Arabidopsis thaliana: one gene and its partners. The protein of the gene in region 1 purifies or fractionates together with the protein of each later gene. This does not show direct contact. Each region holds a gene or a part of one and is shown on either strand. Other genes may lie near its edges.

The links.
Region 2: the proteins of EIF4A-III (region 1) and ALPHA-SNAP2 fractionate together in Arabidopsis thaliana (co-fractionation; one large-scale study listed by BioGRID). This does not show direct contact.
Region 3: the proteins of EIF4A-III (region 1) and ALPHA-SNAP1 fractionate together in Arabidopsis thaliana (co-fractionation; one large-scale study listed by BioGRID). This does not show direct contact.

Annotation. Positions count from the first base shown.
Region 1 is NC_003074.8:6,860,309-6,869,132, forward strand, and holds EIF4A-III (eukaryotic initiation factor 4A-III), read left to right. Parts: upstream 1-3,352; 5' UTR 3,353-3,481; coding exon 3,482-3,789; intron 3,790-4,101; coding exon 4,102-4,423; intron 4,424-4,678; coding exon 4,679-4,786; intron 4,787-4,890; coding exon 4,891-5,010; intron 5,011-5,329; coding exon 5,330-5,497; intron 5,498-5,635; coding exon 5,636-5,722; intron 5,723-5,820; coding exon 5,821-5,934; 3' UTR 5,935-6,338; downstream 6,339-8,824. Other genes in the region: AT3G19740 (P-loop containing nucleoside triphosphate hydrolases superfamily protein), read right to left, coding at 1-119, 587-638, 891-975, 1,323-1,547, 1,641-1,735, 1,855-1,979, 2,069-2,622; VPS9A (Vacuolar sorting protein 9 (VPS9) domain-containing protein), read left to right, coding at 6,608-6,699, 7,041-7,188, 7,270-7,440, 7,531-7,710, 7,835-8,806.
Region 2 is NC_003074.8:20,845,174-20,850,575, forward strand, and holds ALPHA-SNAP2 (alpha-soluble NSF attachment protein 2), read right to left. Parts: upstream 3,523-5,402; 5' UTR 3,184-3,522; coding exon 3,039-3,183; intron 2,587-3,038; coding exon 2,537-2,586; intron 2,451-2,536; coding exon 2,378-2,450; intron 2,283-2,377; coding exon 2,203-2,282; intron 1,972-2,202; coding exon 1,820-1,971; intron 1,590-1,819; coding exon 1,430-1,589; intron 1,333-1,429; coding exon 1,285-1,332; intron 1,197-1,284; coding exon 1,116-1,196; intron 1,027-1,115; coding exon 946-1,026; 3' UTR 501-945; downstream 1-500. Other genes in the region: AT3G56180 (LURP-one-like protein (DUF567)), read left to right, coding at 1-154, 241-375; AT3G56200 (Transmembrane amino acid transporter family protein), read left to right, coding at 4,914-5,277, 5,382-5,402.
Region 3 is NC_003074.8:20,928,813-20,933,369, reverse strand, and holds ALPHA-SNAP1 (alpha-soluble NSF attachment protein 1), read right to left. Parts: upstream 2,814-4,557; coding exon 2,405-2,813; intron 2,111-2,404; coding exon 2,010-2,110; intron 1,560-2,009; coding exon 1,408-1,559; intron 1,387-1,407; exon of another isoform or gene 1,169-1,386; coding exon 1,018-1,168; intron 921-1,017; coding exon 873-920; intron 786-872; coding exon 501-785; downstream 1-500. Other genes in the region: AT3G56460 (GroES-like zinc-binding alcohol dehydrogenase family protein), read left to right, coding at 28-171, 246-341.

The sequences.
Region 1 (8,824 bases):
GTTCTGTTGATTTCTTGTCACCTCCCTCTGATGATGTATCACCTCCAATGTCAAATATGACTGCAACACGATTCCCATTCACCTCATAGACCTCTCCACGTTGTCCACTAGATAATGGCCTGTAGGTATAGAAATTTTGGTTAAAGACAAACCCTAGGGCATTTACAATCCTTCATCCATAATATTTAGCATGCCATGGAAGTTTATAACTTCCAGAGCAATGAGTTCAAAATGTGTTCCTAAAAGATCAAATGTTACATTTGCAGGCATGTCAAATTGCTGAGAAAACCATGGATAGTGATGATAATGGTAAGCACGCAAAAACAAGTCATTTAGTTAAGCAAAGGTAATGCGAGTTGCACTGTTCACAAATAAATGAATAAGTCCTATAGATAACAATTGTGGCAGCAGTTTCATACACATCCAATCCTATACCAGAACTACTCAAATTACTACTAATATGAATAGGCAGAGCAAGCAGAGATCAAGTCAAATAATATGAGACAGAGTCATAAAAGATATTAGAGCGTAATATTCTTCAGCAAGGTTAGAGAATAATTATCACACAAGTGAATCAGTAAACTACCTGTGCTTTGCATCAGCCTTCTTAGAAGGTCCAACATATTTTACACGATCTCCTGCAAAAAGCGTAAACACAAATAGAAATGAGGAAAAGTGAAAAAATTGACCACACAAAGAGAACTTAGCAGTCTGACAAGTAGAAGAGGAAAGAGTGAAAGGCTAAGATAGAAAGACAATACCAGGAAAATTATGACTAGATAGAATACAAAATTACTAAATCAAACTTATTTAGCAAACTGATACATTCAAGTGTACCTAGCACTTGTAATGATGAAGATGCCTTCCAGAGCCTTGATATTGATGATTACCTTTCTTTGCCGGTCGCCTGGCTTTATCAGAATGCTCAACAGCTGCTGCTTCGCAAGCTTCACCATGTAGTTCTTCTGCTACTAGCTGCCACAATTTAGAGGAGGTAAGCAAATTTCAGCAATTTCTGAAACTCAATTTAATTGGAAGTTCAAAAAAGGAACAATGCAAAGAGTCGCATGTAGAACCAAGAAACAGCATTCAAACGGCAGGAATGGTGAAACCTTCTAATTCATGCATAGTAACTCTAATAACAAGTTCATACAAATAAGATAAATCAAGAATCAGAAAACTTATATGACAGGGTCCCAAGATCACATTGTCCACGGGGTATCGCAAAAAGAAAAAGAAATACCATGGTATTACCAACTAAATTAGGAAAAGAACAATCAGTACAGACTAAAATTTCTGAATCTCAATTAATGCAATCATACCTTTTCGAACTCTTCAAGTTTTGGCACAATTTTCTTGATAGCTTCCTCAGAAACCTCGAGACAAGCTTCCTCACTGTCACTCCCATCTGCTTTCGCTTCAGAATCCTCTTCGCTCTGAGCACTAGAATCTTCCTCAGCATCAGACTCTGTCGTGGATTCATCTGCTTCCGCTTCTGCGTTCTCACCATCAGATTCAGATTCTTCATTGTAGTCATCAGCAAAATCCTGATCCAGAATTAAAAAATATTACATAAACACCAAAAAGAACGAAAGAAAAATGGTGGCATGTTATAGGCAAATTACTCATAAGAATCTCACATATGGGGCAAGAACGCTGCTGTCAAGAACCAACAGGGGAACTTGTACATCTCGAGCAAGTGCTCGTACCAACCTCTCCCGGTAAAGCTCAGTACCTGAATAAAATTCAAATTTCTTATTGGTCATCTAACATTTCCTCAATATTTTTACTTGATAACAGAAGAGCAACATCAAATCCTGGTCTGCCATTTTTATTCTATAGTCAATAACAAACCTGGAACACTCTGGAGCAATATTCTTCCACTTGAAGAATCTAAACGGGCACCATATATGGAAGCGGCATTCTTTTGTCTTATATGTGAGGTAACACATTCCACCAAAATATCTTTCGTGTGGTCGCTGTGAAAAGATAATGAGCAGAATCCATAAGCAGAAATGGAGAAAGAAACACAACAAGCGAGAAAAAAAAACATGTTGTAGATTATTACTGGATGTAGTAAGGGAAGGTCTCCCAAGAAAGCTGTATTTTTTCCCAAGGTTGGATTCTCCGTAAGAACTCGTTTTTGAATCTTTCTCGTCTATTAACGAAAGGTGACTCCTTCTTTTTGCATTCACTAGCAAGCTTCTCATTATTGAGCCATTCTATTTGGTCTTGTTCTCCAAGTTGAGCATGAGAATCCAAATGCCCAACACCGTTATTACTTTTCTCCTTCCCGGTTTTTCCATCATCTACACCATTCTCTTTGTTCAAAGAGATATGTTTATCCTCACTAGCATTCCTTCCATCACCCTCAGAACTAAAACTACGCAACTGGCTATTCTTCAAAATACTTAAATGATTTCCCGAGGCAATAGTACCACCGCGGGGAGAAAATGAACCAAGTAGAGACTTTCTTGTCAAATTTTCACTATTGGTTAATTTATTTGTGAATCCACAATATCTGGAAACCGTATAGTCACGAACGACTGGCCTAACTAAGTACTTGGCTTGCTGCAATACCAAACCCCATCTCTGGTTCCTCTTTAATGCCCTTGTATACATCACAAAGTCCCTTCTCTTCCAATATAACTACAAAAAAAAAAACAGAGATCATTGATTTAGAATCACTTTCAGGGTCCATTTCTTGTACTATCCAACCTAAATGCATTGCAACATGTAATTGCACCATTAAAAAAAAAAAAAAACGAGATCAATATCAACGCAAAACATACTATAGTAACTCGGAAAGAAACATAGATTCTATACAATTTATTTCGACTAGAGGAATAACAACACACTTCAGGGAATTAATTGATTAAGAACAGACATCAATTAAAATGAACGATTATGACGCATAACGGAAAATCCAATGTAACAACGAATATGAGGCATCGATATAGAAATGATGATATATTCAGCTTTTGTCATCCATAACTATTACAAAACACGAACCGTTTAACAGAGATGGACAACAAAACTGGTTCTATTCATCCCCCAAGCTCTAAGAATCAGGCTTGGTGCAAAGAGGAGATGTAATTAGGAACGAGATAGGGTGAAGAAGAGAGAGAAAATCCCGACAGAGGAGAGAGAGATAAAGACCGATCTAAAGTCTGTAGGTTCTTCTTCTGAAGCTGAAGCTGGGTTCGAAGTTCAGCTTCGTTGATGCAGTGTTGTCGTTTTGACGCAAAATTGCTACTTGCCTTCCTATGGATATGGGCCTAACTATAAAGGCCCACTAAACATATAAGAGTCGGTATTTTCCTGACAAAAAAGCCCTAACAAGTTGTCGGATTTACAATCGTACCCCTATTTTTAAGCCGCGCTTATCTCGAACCTATACCTGTAGAGAGGAAATAAGCATTTGGGGGAAATCAATCGAAAACCCTAGGAGAGATAAAAACAAAAATCTAGACGGAGATTTATGGCGACAGCGAATCCTGGCCGTGGAGGTGGTAGAAGAGGCGGTGGAGCTATGGATGACGATAAGTTGGTCTTCGAGACTACCGATGGAATTGAGCCCATCACGAGCTTCAATGATATGGGCATTAAGGAAGATGTGCTTCGCGGTGTCTACGAATATGGATTCGAGAAGCCTTCCGCGATTCAGCAGAGGGCTGTTATGCCGATTCTTCAAGGACGTGATGTTATTGCTCAAGCTCAGTCCGGTACCGGGAAGACATCTATGATTGCTCTCTCCGTTTGTCAAGTCGTTGATACTTCTTCTAGAGAGTATGTTTTCTGTTCCTTTAGCTGGATTAAACCCTTCATTTCAATTTTGAACTTTACTTGCTTTGCTCGGATTGTTCTCTAACCTAAATCATTAGGTTTTGTTTCTTATCGATTTCACAAATTTGGTGGGATTTGTTTGTCTGACTTGTAGAATAGATGAACGAATTATGATTCATTAATGTTCAATCAAAATGACAATGAAAATTTGTGATAGTTATTAGCTTTTCGGTTAGAGTGATTGAGTAATACTTTCTTTTAGGCTGCAAGATCTTTTTATATGTGTACTCATGTATTTGGTATCTCGGACTGCAGGGTTCAGGCCTTGATATTATCCCCAACAAGAGAGCTGGCTACACAAACAGAGAAGACGATACAAGCTATTGGATTACATGCCAATATTCAGGCACATGCTTGCATCGGTGGGAATAGTGTTGGAGAAGACATCAGGAAGCTGGAGCATGGTGTTCATGTTGTGTCTGGGACACCTGGTCGTGTCTGTGACATGATAAAGAGGAGAAGTCTTCGTACCAGAGCTATTAAACTTCTGATTCTTGATGAATCAGATGAAATGCTGAGCAGAGGGTTCAAGGACCAGATCTATGATGTTTACAGATATCTTCCACCAGATCTTCAGGTGCAATTTCACTGCTCAATATTATGTGTTGGCTAACTTCTAGTTTCTTTGGATGTTATTGCATTAGCTTTCTTATTTTATGGATTGGCTTCTTGAACTCTATGTGGATTGAGAGAATTATAAGTTGTTAAAAACCTTTTAGCCACTGTTAAGTTGCTTGAATGTCTTATGTGTAGATTTGGTAGCTATTATCTGTATTATGAACAGCTAAATTCCACTCTATAATAGTTCAATCCTAATACGTTTTTTTTGTAGGTTTGCTTGGTTTCTGCAACTCTTCCTCACGAGATTTTGGAGATGACATCCAAGTTTATGACAGAACCAGTGAAGATACTTGTGAAGCGTGATGAGTTGACTCTTGAAGTATGTTTCTTCTTATGCTTCTGTATGCTCGTTCATGTTTACTTTTACAGTAGGTTGACACTCATATTCTTCATTGGCTATCTTTTTGTGTACAATCTTTTCAGGGAATCAAACAATTTTTTGTTGCTGTTGAGAAGGAAGAGTGGAAATTTGATACACTCTGTGATCTTTATGACACGCTTACTATCACTCAAGCTGTTATCTTCTGCAATACTAAACGAAAGGTAATTGTGGTTCTCATGCAACTGTATCTCAAACTTGTTAACATTAAGCTTCTAGCACTGCTATCTGAACTTGATTTGCAATCTTGTAATTGCTCAAAAATTCATACTATCTTGTGAATATATGTATTTCTTTATTTCTAAAAGAAATTAACAATATAAGTCCACTGCGCTAGAGTACTTGCAACCTGTACTCACCTGCAGATATCTATTAGATTGCATTGGCTTTTAAAACCTTTTTCAATGTTTCTTGTAATTAGGGTTCTTGAATTATGGTTCCTTTTCTATATTTTACTCAACTCTAACTCCGCATTTGTTATAGGTGGATTATCTTAGTGAGAAAATGAGAAGTCACAACTTCACTGTCTCATCAATGCATGGAGACATGCCTCAGAAGGAGAGAGACGCCATCATGAATGAGTTTCGGTCAGGTGATAGTCGTGTTTTGATAACAACAGATGTATGGGCACGTGGGATTGATGTGCAACAAGTAAGTCATTACTTATCCGCTATATTTTGTCTAGATAACAATGCGCGGAATAAATTCAATCTCTGTTATTGAGGTCTCAGATTATGTTCCATTCTCTTATGGTAAAGGTGAATTGACATGACAATCTTTATTTAACAGGTTTCTCTTGTTATCAATTATGATCTCCCCAACAACCGTGAGCTCTACATCCATCGTATTGGGCGGTCTGGTCGATTCGGGCGTAAGGTAAGAAACTTTTTCTAATCTCTGCTTCTGAGCTTAATTTCTTAGCCTGGAGATACTAGATGGATATCTTTTAACCAATTTTGCGGTTATCTTTCTAGGGTGTTGCAATCAACTTTGTTAAAAGCGACGACATCAAGATTCTCAGAGACATTGAGCAGTACTACAGTACCCAGATTGATGAGATGCCAATGAATGTAGCTGATCTTATCTAAAAGAGCTTGTCTGAGATTTTTGTGCTTTCAGCGGGGAAGTGTCTGGATGAAAAAGTATTGTTGAGCGCTTCTGTCAAATTATTGCACTATCTTAACGGTGTATTTCCTTTGATGTTTCTGTGGGCTCTTTTGAACAAACTTAAACTCGCGTGTGGTAAATGTTTAATGACTTGAGAAGCGATTTAGGTTTAGGGTTTGGACCGTTTGGTTTTTCGTTTCCTCGTAATTGATTCTGGGGGCTTTGATTGTGGTTTGTGGGTCAAAACTCTCAACTATCACTACTTGTAAGACTTTTGCTCGACAGTTGAAACGGTTCATTGTTATCTTATTTCGTAAAGCTTGGATCATTGCAAAAATCAATCATTTGCAAAAGCAAAGCAAGTTGATGAAATTACTGGACATGACGTCGAGGTTTTTCGTATCGTGTGTTTCATTTGACGGAGTCAGGTGTCCTCGCTCGTTGGTTGATGGGTTGGGTGAAATTGATGAACGAAACCCAAAACCGGGTTAGGACCGAATTAGATTCACTAACTTAACAACACCAGGACCAATAACCGGAACTTAATAAATAAACGACCGTGGTTTTGTTTGTTTATTGGTAGTCAGCGACACGGAACTCATTAACTTTACTCTTCTCACTGGTCAATCGTCGGAGATAATCGGGTGATCGGCGATGGAGAATACGGACGTCTTCTTGGGGCTGCATGATTTCCTGGAGCGGATGCGCAAACCCTCCGCCGGCGATTTCGTCAAATCCATTAAAAGGTCCCATTTCTCCCTCTTTTGATGCAGATCCGGATATATGTGTGTGTTTCTATGTACGATCTTCCTCTTAGCTTAAGTGGATGTGCTTCTTAGCGGTTTACGTTTTTAAGTCCATTTTCAGTTGATGATGATACTATTTGAGCAAAATTCGTACTGATTTGAGATTTCTAATCATTTATTTATGCTTCTTCAATTGCTGTTACTGGGGAAGACAATTGGATCTTGTTAATAGGGTATAACAATTAGAAATTATTGATTTCATACTGGAATGGTTTGTTTATTGAGCATAGAAGTATTGTGGATAATGCGTGGTTAAGGATGTTTTTTGGTTGATGTTGCAGTTTCATTGTTTCATTCTCGAACAATGCACCAGACCCGGAAAAAGATTGTGCTATGGTTCAGGAGTTCTTTTCTAAGATGGAGGCTGCTTTCAGGGCTCATCCACTTTGGTCTGGTTGTTCTGAGGAGGAATTGGATAGTGCTGGAGATGTGAGTATCAGTATTCTTCTTTTTCTGTCTGTGAATTGTTTTCATCTTTGTACCATAATCATTGCTCGTTTGTATACACAGGGCCTGGAGAAGTATGTTATGACAAAGCTATTTACTCGGGTGTTTGCTTCAAACACTGAGGAGGTTATAGCTGATGAGAAGCTATTTCAGAAGATGTCATTGGTTCAACAATTCATTTCTCCCGAGAATTTGGATATACAACCAACTTTTCAAAATGAATCGTCATGGCTGGTAAGCCGATCTAGTCAAAAGCTAGCTCCCGGTAGTGTTTCCTCTTTTTGTTAGTGTTCTTACTTGTGATCCTTTCTCTCCTTTTGGCAGCTAGCTCAAAAAGAGCTCCAGAAGATAAACATGTACAAAGCTCCTCGTGATAAGCTTGTGTGTATCCTTAACTGTTGCAAAGTGATTAATAACTTACTGCTAAATGCTTCAATTGCTTCAAACGAGAATGCACCTGGAGCAGACGAATTTCTTCCTGTTTTGATATATGTAACAATAAAGGTATTGGGAACGATTGAACAACTTATGCATACTGGTATCTGAAGTCGTATTTTTGTTGTACATGATTATGTTTCGAATGTGCAAGAACATCTACTAGTGCTAATTCTGTTCTTTCTTTTTGCAGGCTAACCCTCCACAACTTCACTCAAACTTGTTGTATATACAAAGGTATAGGCGTGAATCTAAACTTGTTGGTGAAGCTGCGTACTTCTTCACAAACATACTCTCTGCAGAGTCTTTCATCTCAAATATTGATGCAAAATCTATTTCACTGGATGAAGCTGAGTTTGAAAAGAACATGGAATCTGCACGGGCACGAATTTCTGGTTTGGACAGCCAGACTTATCAAACTGGTCATGGCTCTGCACCACCCCCTCGTGATGAGTCCACTCTTCAGAAAACTCAAAGTCTGAATCCCAAGAGGGAAAACACTCTTTTCCAATCAAAATCGTCTGATAGTCTTTCTGGGACCAACGAATTACTGAATATAAACAGTGAAACACCAATGAAGAAAGCTGAATCCATTTCAGATTTGGAAAATAAGGGTGCGACGCTTCTGAAGGATACCGAGCCAAGCAAAGTCTTTCAAGAATATCCTTACATATTTGCCAGTGCTGGTGATTTGAGGATAGGAGATGTTGAAGGCTTGTTAAATAGTTATAAACAGCTCGTTTTCAAATATGTGTGCCTTACCAAAGGATTGGGTGATGGAACATCTTTAGCTCCATCCAGTTCACCCTTGCAAGCGTCGTCCGGTTTTAATACGTCTAAGGAATCTGAGGATCATAGAAGATCGTCTTCAGATGTACAAATGACAAAGGAAACTGACAGGAGTGTTGATGATTTGATCCGAGCTCTACATGGTGAAGGGGAAGATGTTAACAATCTGTCAGATGTAAAACATGAAGAATATGGCGCAATGTTGGTAGAGGGAAAGGATGAAGAACGTGATTCCAAGGTGCAAGGAGAAGTAGATGCCAAAGATATTGAATTGATGAAGCAAATTCCTAAGAGAGAAGGTGACAATTCTAGTTCCCGACCTGCAGAAGATGAAGATGTTGGTTCCAAACAGCCAGTTACGGAAGCTTCTGAGTGAGCCAAATGACCCATCTTG
Region 2 (5,402 bases), about 14 Mb from region 1:
ACAATCTCAAGCGGTTTCACTGAAAACATCCGTGGATGTTTTCTTGCCGGAGAACAACAATGTCAAGAAGACAAACACTTGTGATTTTCATGCTTCAGGAGGATACTCCAATATCTCATTCAAAGTTTTCAAAGCGGATGCTCTCATCGCCGGGGTAGGGGTAAAAGTTAAAAACCCATACTTATTAAGAAATTTGCAATTTTTATACATTGGTGAAGGATTGAAATCCTTATATTGCAGGTAACACATAAGTTTACATGGGGAAGTTTCTGCAAAGGGAAATATAACTTTAAGGTGAGAGTAAATCCAGAGGTTGATTATGCTTTTATCATTGCTTTGCTTGTCATGGTCGATGACAACGAGAATTGGTGTTAGTATATTGTCTGTCCTCAATCTCTTTGTTTAGTGGTTCCTTTCACAATTTATTGGTGTATATGTGTTCATTTCTCAAGATATATGTATGTAAGAATATTTTTTCCATGTAATGTGCAATCTTGCTGGCCCAAATGTTTATTTTTCATAAAAGCGTGCAATCAAAGATATATAGAGCAAGAAAACATGAATCAAAACACTACAAATTGTCGTTAACAGGAAGAAAAAGCACACGTTTATTAGATAGATGTAGACGTAAAAGCAAACAAATAATCGAGACATGATCCTCTCGATGCATCAAATAATCGCTGAACGAAGAAGACTCTCCACAGATGTTTAACCAATATAAAAAAAACTCCAGACTTGAGTAGTTCCCATAAATGAAGTGACGAGACGCAGAGAACAATTGTAGACGTCGATACCAAACAAACCCAATTTGACCAAACCTCTTAAGAAACTTTAAAACTCAAAACCAGACACAATAAAATCAAAGAAGAGTCGGACATGAAGTAACGGACATAGTGACAATACAACCCGGGAATGAATAAAAAGCAACGCTCTGGATAAATATGTCTATGTAAGGTCATCCTCCTCTAGCTCCTTGGCCTTGAGCTTCTCCTTCACCCTCAACAACATGGTTGTCTTCCATGAATCCTGCATTAACACCAATTCCATGATCAAGAACCAGGTAGAGTTAAAGAGAGATTTTATTCAAATAGCTGTATATGGTTTACAGCCCATACCAGTGGAGTCATGCTATCAAACTCCTTGACAACATCTGTGAACTTTGCGATGTCTTCTTCATCGATAGCAGAAGCAAGGTCCTGTTCATATGAATAAATGTACAAAACTTAACATACTTTATGTAAGCTGCTCCACAACTTCTTGAAAAAACGGAAGTTTAAACTTTACCGCTAAGAACTTGCATTCCCGTGTTCCAGTAAAAGTTGGATCCAGATCCTGCAAGAAAGTAGAAGTTAGAAAACATGTCATAGTTGCTCAAAGGACCACACCAGAATGTTTATGTTACGGGTGTTTGTTGTGGAAGAAGAAGAACCTGATACTTCTCCAGAGCGTTAGTGATGGAAACAACATCGGCTTTGCATAAGTGGCACATGCCAGCAGTGAGAAGATGGCCCTTAACTCCATACTTGAGCAAGTTATTGTTGAGTGAATGGCGTGCTATGTCTTCATAAATCTTGATTGCCTTCTCATACCTACCAAAGATACAACAACAAGCCTATTATCAATCAATCGGTCCCAAAGTAGAGAAAAGGCTATAATTGCTGTGCTCATGCATACTGCATAGAGAACATCACAATTCCATACAATGACAAGTTTGTGGATTGACAATTCGATTTTAACAGGGTTCCATCTGAGTACTATAAGCACTTCAATGCTAAGGGATGAGAAAGCAAAAAGAAAGGTAATGTGCCGAAAATCTTACTGCTCCAGCTGGGCGGCATATTGCGCAACCTTTAGATTGCACTGGTTTGCAGAAGTGGTCACTTCTTCATTCTGAAAGAATTCAGCTGCCTTTTCAAAGTAAGCAATAGCCTGCTCGAACTTCTGATCAGATTCATAATACTCAGCAATTTCCTGTCAAAAGTAAAAAACCATTAATGTACAAATTAGTCCAAATACAGCAAGTCAGCACCATGCTTACTTTAGTTTAGAAAAGGAAAAAGACAATCTGAATCCGACTGAACATGCATAAAGAAACAGGAACCATGGAGGAAATACAGAAGAAGTGCCCCAATAAAACTATCTTCTCAGTATCCGTACTAAAAGAATAATATCTAATTCATGCTCAAAAGAGACAAGTGGTACCTTGTAATATCTTGCAGCCATGTTGAGCCTTCCTATCTCACAAAATATATTCACCGCTCGCTCTAGGCAAGACGCAGCCTCTGCATATAATATTAGGACGCATGAAAACACATAAGAATTCATAATCACTCTTGCATTACAGAGATGACAATTACAAAAGTAGCTTTATACATACCATTAGTGTCAACTTTCTTGTAGCATTTAGCAGCCTCAGCATAGGCGTTAGCAGCATCATGTTTGCTATCTGACTGCAGATGCAATCATGCAAATCAATGTTATCAAACAATCCACACATTAGTCCAGTATCATATATATGTGTTGCCAAAGAATTAACCTTTAAGTGACAGTCGGCAAGTTTTAGATAAGCTTTTCCAGCTTGATCCCCTGAACAATCACAAATGCAACACATAAGTAAGAAGATAGCGTTGGAGAATTAAACAAATATCAGAAAAGAACATGAAACCTATTAAACTCAGCCAAATAGAACCCAAATTAGGTACTATAATTGTGCCACTTATCAATGACTTGCTAGAAGGCCAGAAACCAATATCAAGGAATCAGAATGATGAATCTCCGATTTAAAATGTTTTCGTATGAAATTATCAACCATAAATTTCTTACAGATCAAAATAGACCTAATATAAACCCAGATACTAATTCTACTTCTCACATGACCATAGACAAATCACCGCAACTGATAAACCTAAGATCAAACGTTTCAAATTTCACCTTTTTTTTCTTCCTCATCATCACAAAGAACAACAATAAAAAAAAACACGACACCAATCCGATGAAACAATAATCAAAAGCAAAGAAATTTTATTTATGGAAATTACATGATTTGGCGAGCTTATAGGAATTAGCTGCTTTTTCGAGCAGATCAGCAGCATCCTCGTACTTAGATCCGAATATTCCCCATCCATTGAGCTTTTTCTCAGCTTTCTTCTCGAATTCCTCAGCTCTCACCAGATGATCCCCCATTCCTTTTTTTTCCCCGAAACTCTGACTTGAAATTTGATCGTGTACTTCTTTACCTCCACAGACTCCGATTGCTTCTCTTTTCTTCGTCGAGAGAAATTGCTTTCGATTTGGATTATTCGCTGCGATGAAAGAGAGAGAGACGAGAATCGATCGAGAGCGAAAAATCAGAGACACGCTTCGATAGGGGAAAAGATTTTTCAACCGACTAAAGTGGGCCAAATTTGTCTATTTAAAATATGGGCTTTGTTTTGAAAAGCCCAAGTTAGCCCAATCAAAAGTTTTTCCGTACTTTGTTATTGGGTCGCTTTAACCAAGCTTAGAAAATATGGGATCAGGTTTATCAGTTGGGATTGAAGAAAAGCTTACATGAATTATCAAGTAAAACGATTTCCTGTTATATCTGCTCGTCCTTCTACATTCTTCATTAGCCATTATTATAGTTCTCAAATCACGACAAATATTGCTGACAGTTTCCACTAAACAAACCTATGTTCCAAAATGCACAAACTGGTAAAAACCTAGTATGTTTTAATATCAAACACATGAGTAACAACAATATCGGTTTTAATATCAAACACATGAATAACAACAATGGCTAAATAACAACCGTTACAAATCTATGAAATGTTCAATTTTTTAGCAAATCATTTCATGGGTAATCGGTAATTTTTTTGTCTTTTGTGAGTTGCAGAGGTAATCTTCTGTTGTTGGGCTTCTCGACATGTTGAATGGTATTGGGCTTAGTGTCTTGGCCCATAGCATTCTGTTTGGGAGACTCTGAGCTGAGCAGAGAGTTTGACCCAAGCTCTGTTGTTGTTGACTGAAGCTTCTCCTTTACACACAGAGATGATCTAAAATAAACTGTAACTTTGCAACGAGGGATTTCTGCGGCAATATTAATGTTGCTATCAGTCACATTCTATAATGTTAACTGAGTAACTTCAATATGATTCATATGAAATGATTAAATAAAAATAACTTTAGAAGACAGTGTTTAATTATTCTTATATTGTTTCGTTTATCACGTTTTCAATTATTCATTCGACATTCCGCATTCGCTGCCCTCTCGTTTTCTTGATGAAAAGTCTCGAACCGTCTGCTCTAAAGTTAGTTTATTACACGTGAGCCATCTTTGAGGCCGCCAATGATATGATTATATATTGGATTTTATTATATCCACGAAAATTTTAAATTATTTAGGAGTTTTTTTCTTTTTTGGACAACTTATATGAGATGAGAAGCGATGATACACATTTGGCCACTTTTTCGTCTAGATACATTCTTCGTGAAGAAATCCAAGTGCACACATTCATTAGTGTTGGACGGACCCATTTTATTTTGGATTTTTTTGTATAATTCTTTGGGGTTTTTTTGTTAATAATTCACTTCTGTCTATAATATGATTATGATTGTTCATCATATTTTAGCTGTAATTTCCTCTCTTGAACAAAATTATTATTTTCGTGATGTTTTTAAGTACGTGACGAAAGATCATTTGGTGATCTCACTGACATGATTTGCCCAGCCTGTCAGGTTTACCTATGGTCAAATATCATTTTCTCGATTTTGCCCCAAACGGTCAAGGCATATATCCCCAATCTTCAAAGGGTATTTATGTACTTTTCGCTATTAACCGTGTGGCTATATGAAGCCGATTCCTCATAACAACTACAAAAAAGGAAAGCTTCTTCCCGCCGGCAAATTCTTACGTTTCTCCGGCGGTTAGAAAAATGACACCACAGATCAAAACTCATCTCTTGCCGAAGCAAGAACCTTCTTCGTCTGAGAACCATGGATCATCAACCTCCGGCATCGTTTTCAACGTGTCAACGAGTATAATCGGAGCCGGAATAATGTCGATGCCGGCGGCGTTTAAAGTTCTTGGAATAGTTCCAGCGTTTTTGATTATCACGATCATAGCTTGGCTTTCCACAATTTCCGTTGGATTTCTGATGAAATCAACTCTCGCCGGAGAATCAACTACTTACGCCGGAGTTATGAAAGAGTCGTTTGGTAAAACAGGATCCATCGCTGTACAGATTGCTACGATGGTTGCTACTTTTGGTTGTATGATTATATTTTCGATTATTATAGGTAAAGTAATTTGATCTAATCATCTAAGTGTAGAGGTCTCAGCTACTATTTGAGCTTAAGAACAGATTGGCTGAGTTTGGATTTGTATGTGTTTACTCTCTCAGGAGATGTGCTTTCTGGTAATG
Region 3 (4,557 bases), about 14 Mb from region 1:
ATAAGTTGTAGTAACCAATTGGTGCAGAACTGGACGGTTCATGGTCTTTACTGGGGTAGCTACAGGATCCATCAGCCCAATGTCCTTGAAGATTCCATCAAAGAGTTATTGTCATGGCTTTCCCGAGGATTGATCACTATTCACATCTCTCATACCTATAGCCTCTCCCAGGTGAAAACATTAACTCATCTTCATGACATCAAAACTCAAAACATGTAATTAAACACTTACCGTTTTGATTACAGGCCAATCTTGCATTCGGGGACCTCAAAGACAGGAAGGCAATTGGAAAAGTGATGATTGCTCTCGACCACAAGACTGCCCTGTCTTCAAAACTATAGACTCTTTATGGCCGTAGGAGAAAACAGCTTATGTATTCTAGAAATAAGGTTATTGCAATGGCCATGTAAGCTGAACCATCTTGCATTTATATCTGGCATATAATCCACATTCTGATTTGAAATTTCAATAAACGTTATCGAATTGCAGTTTGATTTTCTCTAGAAATTAGTGTAGTTATAAATCCTTTTTGTATATACATTGTTCCAATCAAGAATACATTTTCCTTCAATCAAGTAAAGCTTGCATCCTCCTCCAGCTCCCTGGCCTTGAACTTCTCTTTTACCCTCAACAACATTGTTGTCATGATCAAGAACCAGACAGAGTTTACATCCAAATAGTTGCATGTGGTTTACTGCCCATACCAGTGGACTCACGCTATCAATTTCCTTGGAAACGTCTGTGAACTTTGCAATGTCTTCTTCATCGATAGCAGAAGCAAGGTCCTGTTCATGAGAATAAATGTACAACACTTAACATACTTTATGTAAGCTACTCCCCAATTTCTTACAACACCAGAGTTTAAACTTTACCGCTAAGAACTTGCATTCCCGTGTTCCTGAAAAAGTCGGATCCAGATCCTGCAAGAAAGTACAAGTTAGAACACATGTCATAGTTACTCAAAGGACCACGCCAGGATGCTGATGTTAAGGCTGTTTGCTGTGGAAGAAGAAGAACCTGATATTTCTCCAGTGCATTAGTGATGGAAACAACATCAGCTTTGCATAAGTGGCACATGCCAGCAGTGAGAAGATGGCCTTTAACTCCATACTTAAGCAACTTATTGTTGAGTGAATGGCGTGCCTGTGTCTTCATAAATCTGGATTGCCTTCTCATACCTATCAAAGATACAACAGCAAGCCTATTATCAATCAATCAATCCGCCCCAAAGTAGAGAAGGGGCTATAATCCATGTGCTCATGTGTAGAGAACAACAACATTATTCCAAACAATGTCAAATTTGTGGTTTGAAAATTCGATTTTAACATGGTCCCATCTCAGTACTGTAAGTACGTCAATACCAGAGGATGAGAAAGCCAAAAAAAGGTCAGGTGCCGAAAATCTTACTGCTCTAGCTGGGAAGCATATTGTGCAACCTTTAGATTGCACTGGTTTGCAGAGGTGGTCACTTCTTCTATTTGAAAGAATTCAGCTGCCGTTTCATAGTAAGCAATAGCTTGCTCGAACATCTCATCAGATTCATAATACTCAGCAATTTCCTGTCAAAAGTAAATGACAATGTACACATTAGTACAAATACAGAAAGTCAGTACCAAGCTTACTATATATACTGTAGAAAAAAAGAAACAAATCCGACAGGATCCAACATGCATAAACAACACGAACCATGGAGAAGATGCTGAAGAAGTGCCTCCCCCTCAATAAAACTATCTTCTCACTATCCGTACTAAAAGAGTAACAGTATCTAATTCATACTCAAAAGAGACATGTAGTACATTGTAATATCTTGCAGCCATGTTGAGCCTTACTATCTATCTCACAAAATATATTCGCCGCTCTCTCTAGACAAGATGCAGCCTCTGCATATAATAAGGTCATGGTTATATTTGGACGCGATAAACATGCATAGCGAAAGGAAAACACACAAGAGTTGATAATCAGTCCTGTAGTACATATATGTCAATTAAAATCTAAAAAGCTGTTGCTACATGATCCATACATTCGTCCATTATCATATATGTGTTTGCCAAAGAATTTGCCTTTAAGTGACAATCGGCAAGTTTTAGATAAGCTATTCCAGCTTGATCCCCTGAAGAATCACAAATCAAACACATAAGCAAGAAGATACTTATCAATGACTTTACTATAAGGCCAAAAACCATCATTATCGAGTAATCTAAATGTTGAGTATCCAATTTATAATTCCCACATATCAAAGAGGCCTAAAATCAACTTCTCACAACACCATGGAAGGATCACCACAATTGCTAAACCAAAGATCAATCAAAAGTCTCAAGTTTCACCTTTTCTTCCTCATCATCATCACAAATCAATCAGATGAAACAAAAATCAAGGCCGGCTGATTATTATTTATGGAAATTACATGATTTGGCAAGCTTATAGGAATCACGTGCTTTCTCGAGCAGATCAGCAGCATCCTCGTACTTAGTGTCGAATCTTCTCCGTCTGTTAAGCTTCTTCTCAGCTTTCTTCTGAAAGTAGTAGCAACTGCTTGAAGAAGAGAAAGTGATATCAAACAACAACAAGAGTTGGCGGCGAGCGATGGTAGCTGAAGCGGCTCGCGTGATGGTTCTCTGTTTTGAGTATTGCAGAGTTCCGATGAATGAGAGATGGGCTTCGTGTCTCCTTTTGGGCCTGAAACAGCTGCAGTGTTGTTGTGAGAGATTGAAGTCTCTGCTTGAGTTGGAGACTCTTGTTGTTTGATATCTTATCAAGTTCCTCAGCTCTATGAAAAGTGGGTAAAAAAAACCCTCACCTTTTACAAAAAACATGTACAAAACCCTCAACTTTTTTGGTGGGTTTTTAAACCCTTCCCTTTTTTTCTTTGATAACTCAATGCCCAGACCACACAGTGATCTAACTAGTCTACTGGGGCTAAGCCCGCGACCAGAGATTTTTAAGCATCCATTTAAGGGATTTTTTGGTGGGTTTTTAAACCCTTCCCTTTTAAAAAATAATAAAATAACACTTACTATTATTAAACCAACTAAACTATTATATTAAAACATAAAATAAAACAAGTTAGTTTGTAATTTATACTTTCCAAATTGGAGTTTTTGATATTTTTTCAGAATTTAGTTGTTGTTTTTTGACGATATAAAAAAATAAGTTTCAATTAGAATTTGTTATGTAAACTAAAATCAATTTATAGCTTAGCACATTTTATTTTATTTTACTTCATATGTTTTCTAACTTTTGAAGTTTTGGATTTAAAATGAAGAAAATTATTAACATAATTTTGTTCTAAAGTTGTGTGACTGAACAAAAAAAAAATTCTTAATATTTCTTTTCTTCTTGAACATATAAAACAAAGGTTTCGCATTACCAAAAAATTTCAGAATAAGAATTATTCAGCCTATCTTATCGTATTTCCAAAAAAGATCTCGAGAAGATCTCGGAGAATCTTAACAACAAATGAAAAGAAAATATATTATCATTATTTTGTGCAAAAGATTGCACTCCTCCTTCCTTTCCATCTTTATTACCTGATGCGTAAAGATATCTAATGGAAGAAGAGCTCTCGCCTGCTTCTATAAGACCTGTTTTACTAACAGGACAGTTTAGTATTTCAAGATGTTTTAATTCTTTGCATCCTTTACCAATTGCTTGGAGACCGTGATCCGTAACATTGGTAGCATACTCTAGTGTTATTTCAACAAATCTATATACAGAACAAGCACATGTATCACGGTCAGTTTATGTGCAACATCAAATATTCAATTAGAAATTTTTGATAAAACAAAATTGAAAATTCTCGTAAATGACGTAAAAGAAAAAAGAATAATAATGCAATCAAAACTAGCATTTACAAGCAAAAATTTCTAAAAGAATAATAATATAATTTGTGTTAATCACACCATAGAAAGTATTTTGAGCAAGGGGAATTAATAAAATCAATGCATCATTAAAATTGCTTAAATTTAATGCATCATTAACTATTATGTAAAAAAAAACCACATAAAATTTTTAATATATGTAAATTTTATATAAAAAAAAAAAGATTGCTTAAACCACAAGCTAGCGACTTGTGAGTTTAACAAAAAGTCGTAAAATCCAATGGAATCTGGTGACGACAAGGCACCTAATACTTTTTTTTTTTTTTTAACTCTGGCACCTAATACTTTTAAAGCATCTCCATTGCATAATTTTCTATATTGTCTCTATAAAATTAAAGTTACTAAATATTAATAATTAAATGTATAAGTCTTTAAATTAAATGGAGAAATCCGGTTCTGTAACCTTGAAATGACCATGTAAGCTGAACCATCTTGCATTTGTTATATCTGTCCTATAATCAACATTCTGATTTGAAATTTTAATAAACGTAATCGAATTGCAGTTTGATTCTCTGTAGAAATTAGTGTTATAACCAAAAAAAAATCCTTTTTGTATATACATTGTTCCAATCAAGAATACATTTTCCTTCAATCAAGTAAAGCTTGGAAGAATAAAATCGTATGCGGTTTCACCAAATCTATATACAGAGCCAATTGTTATGTACATAAAACTCAAACC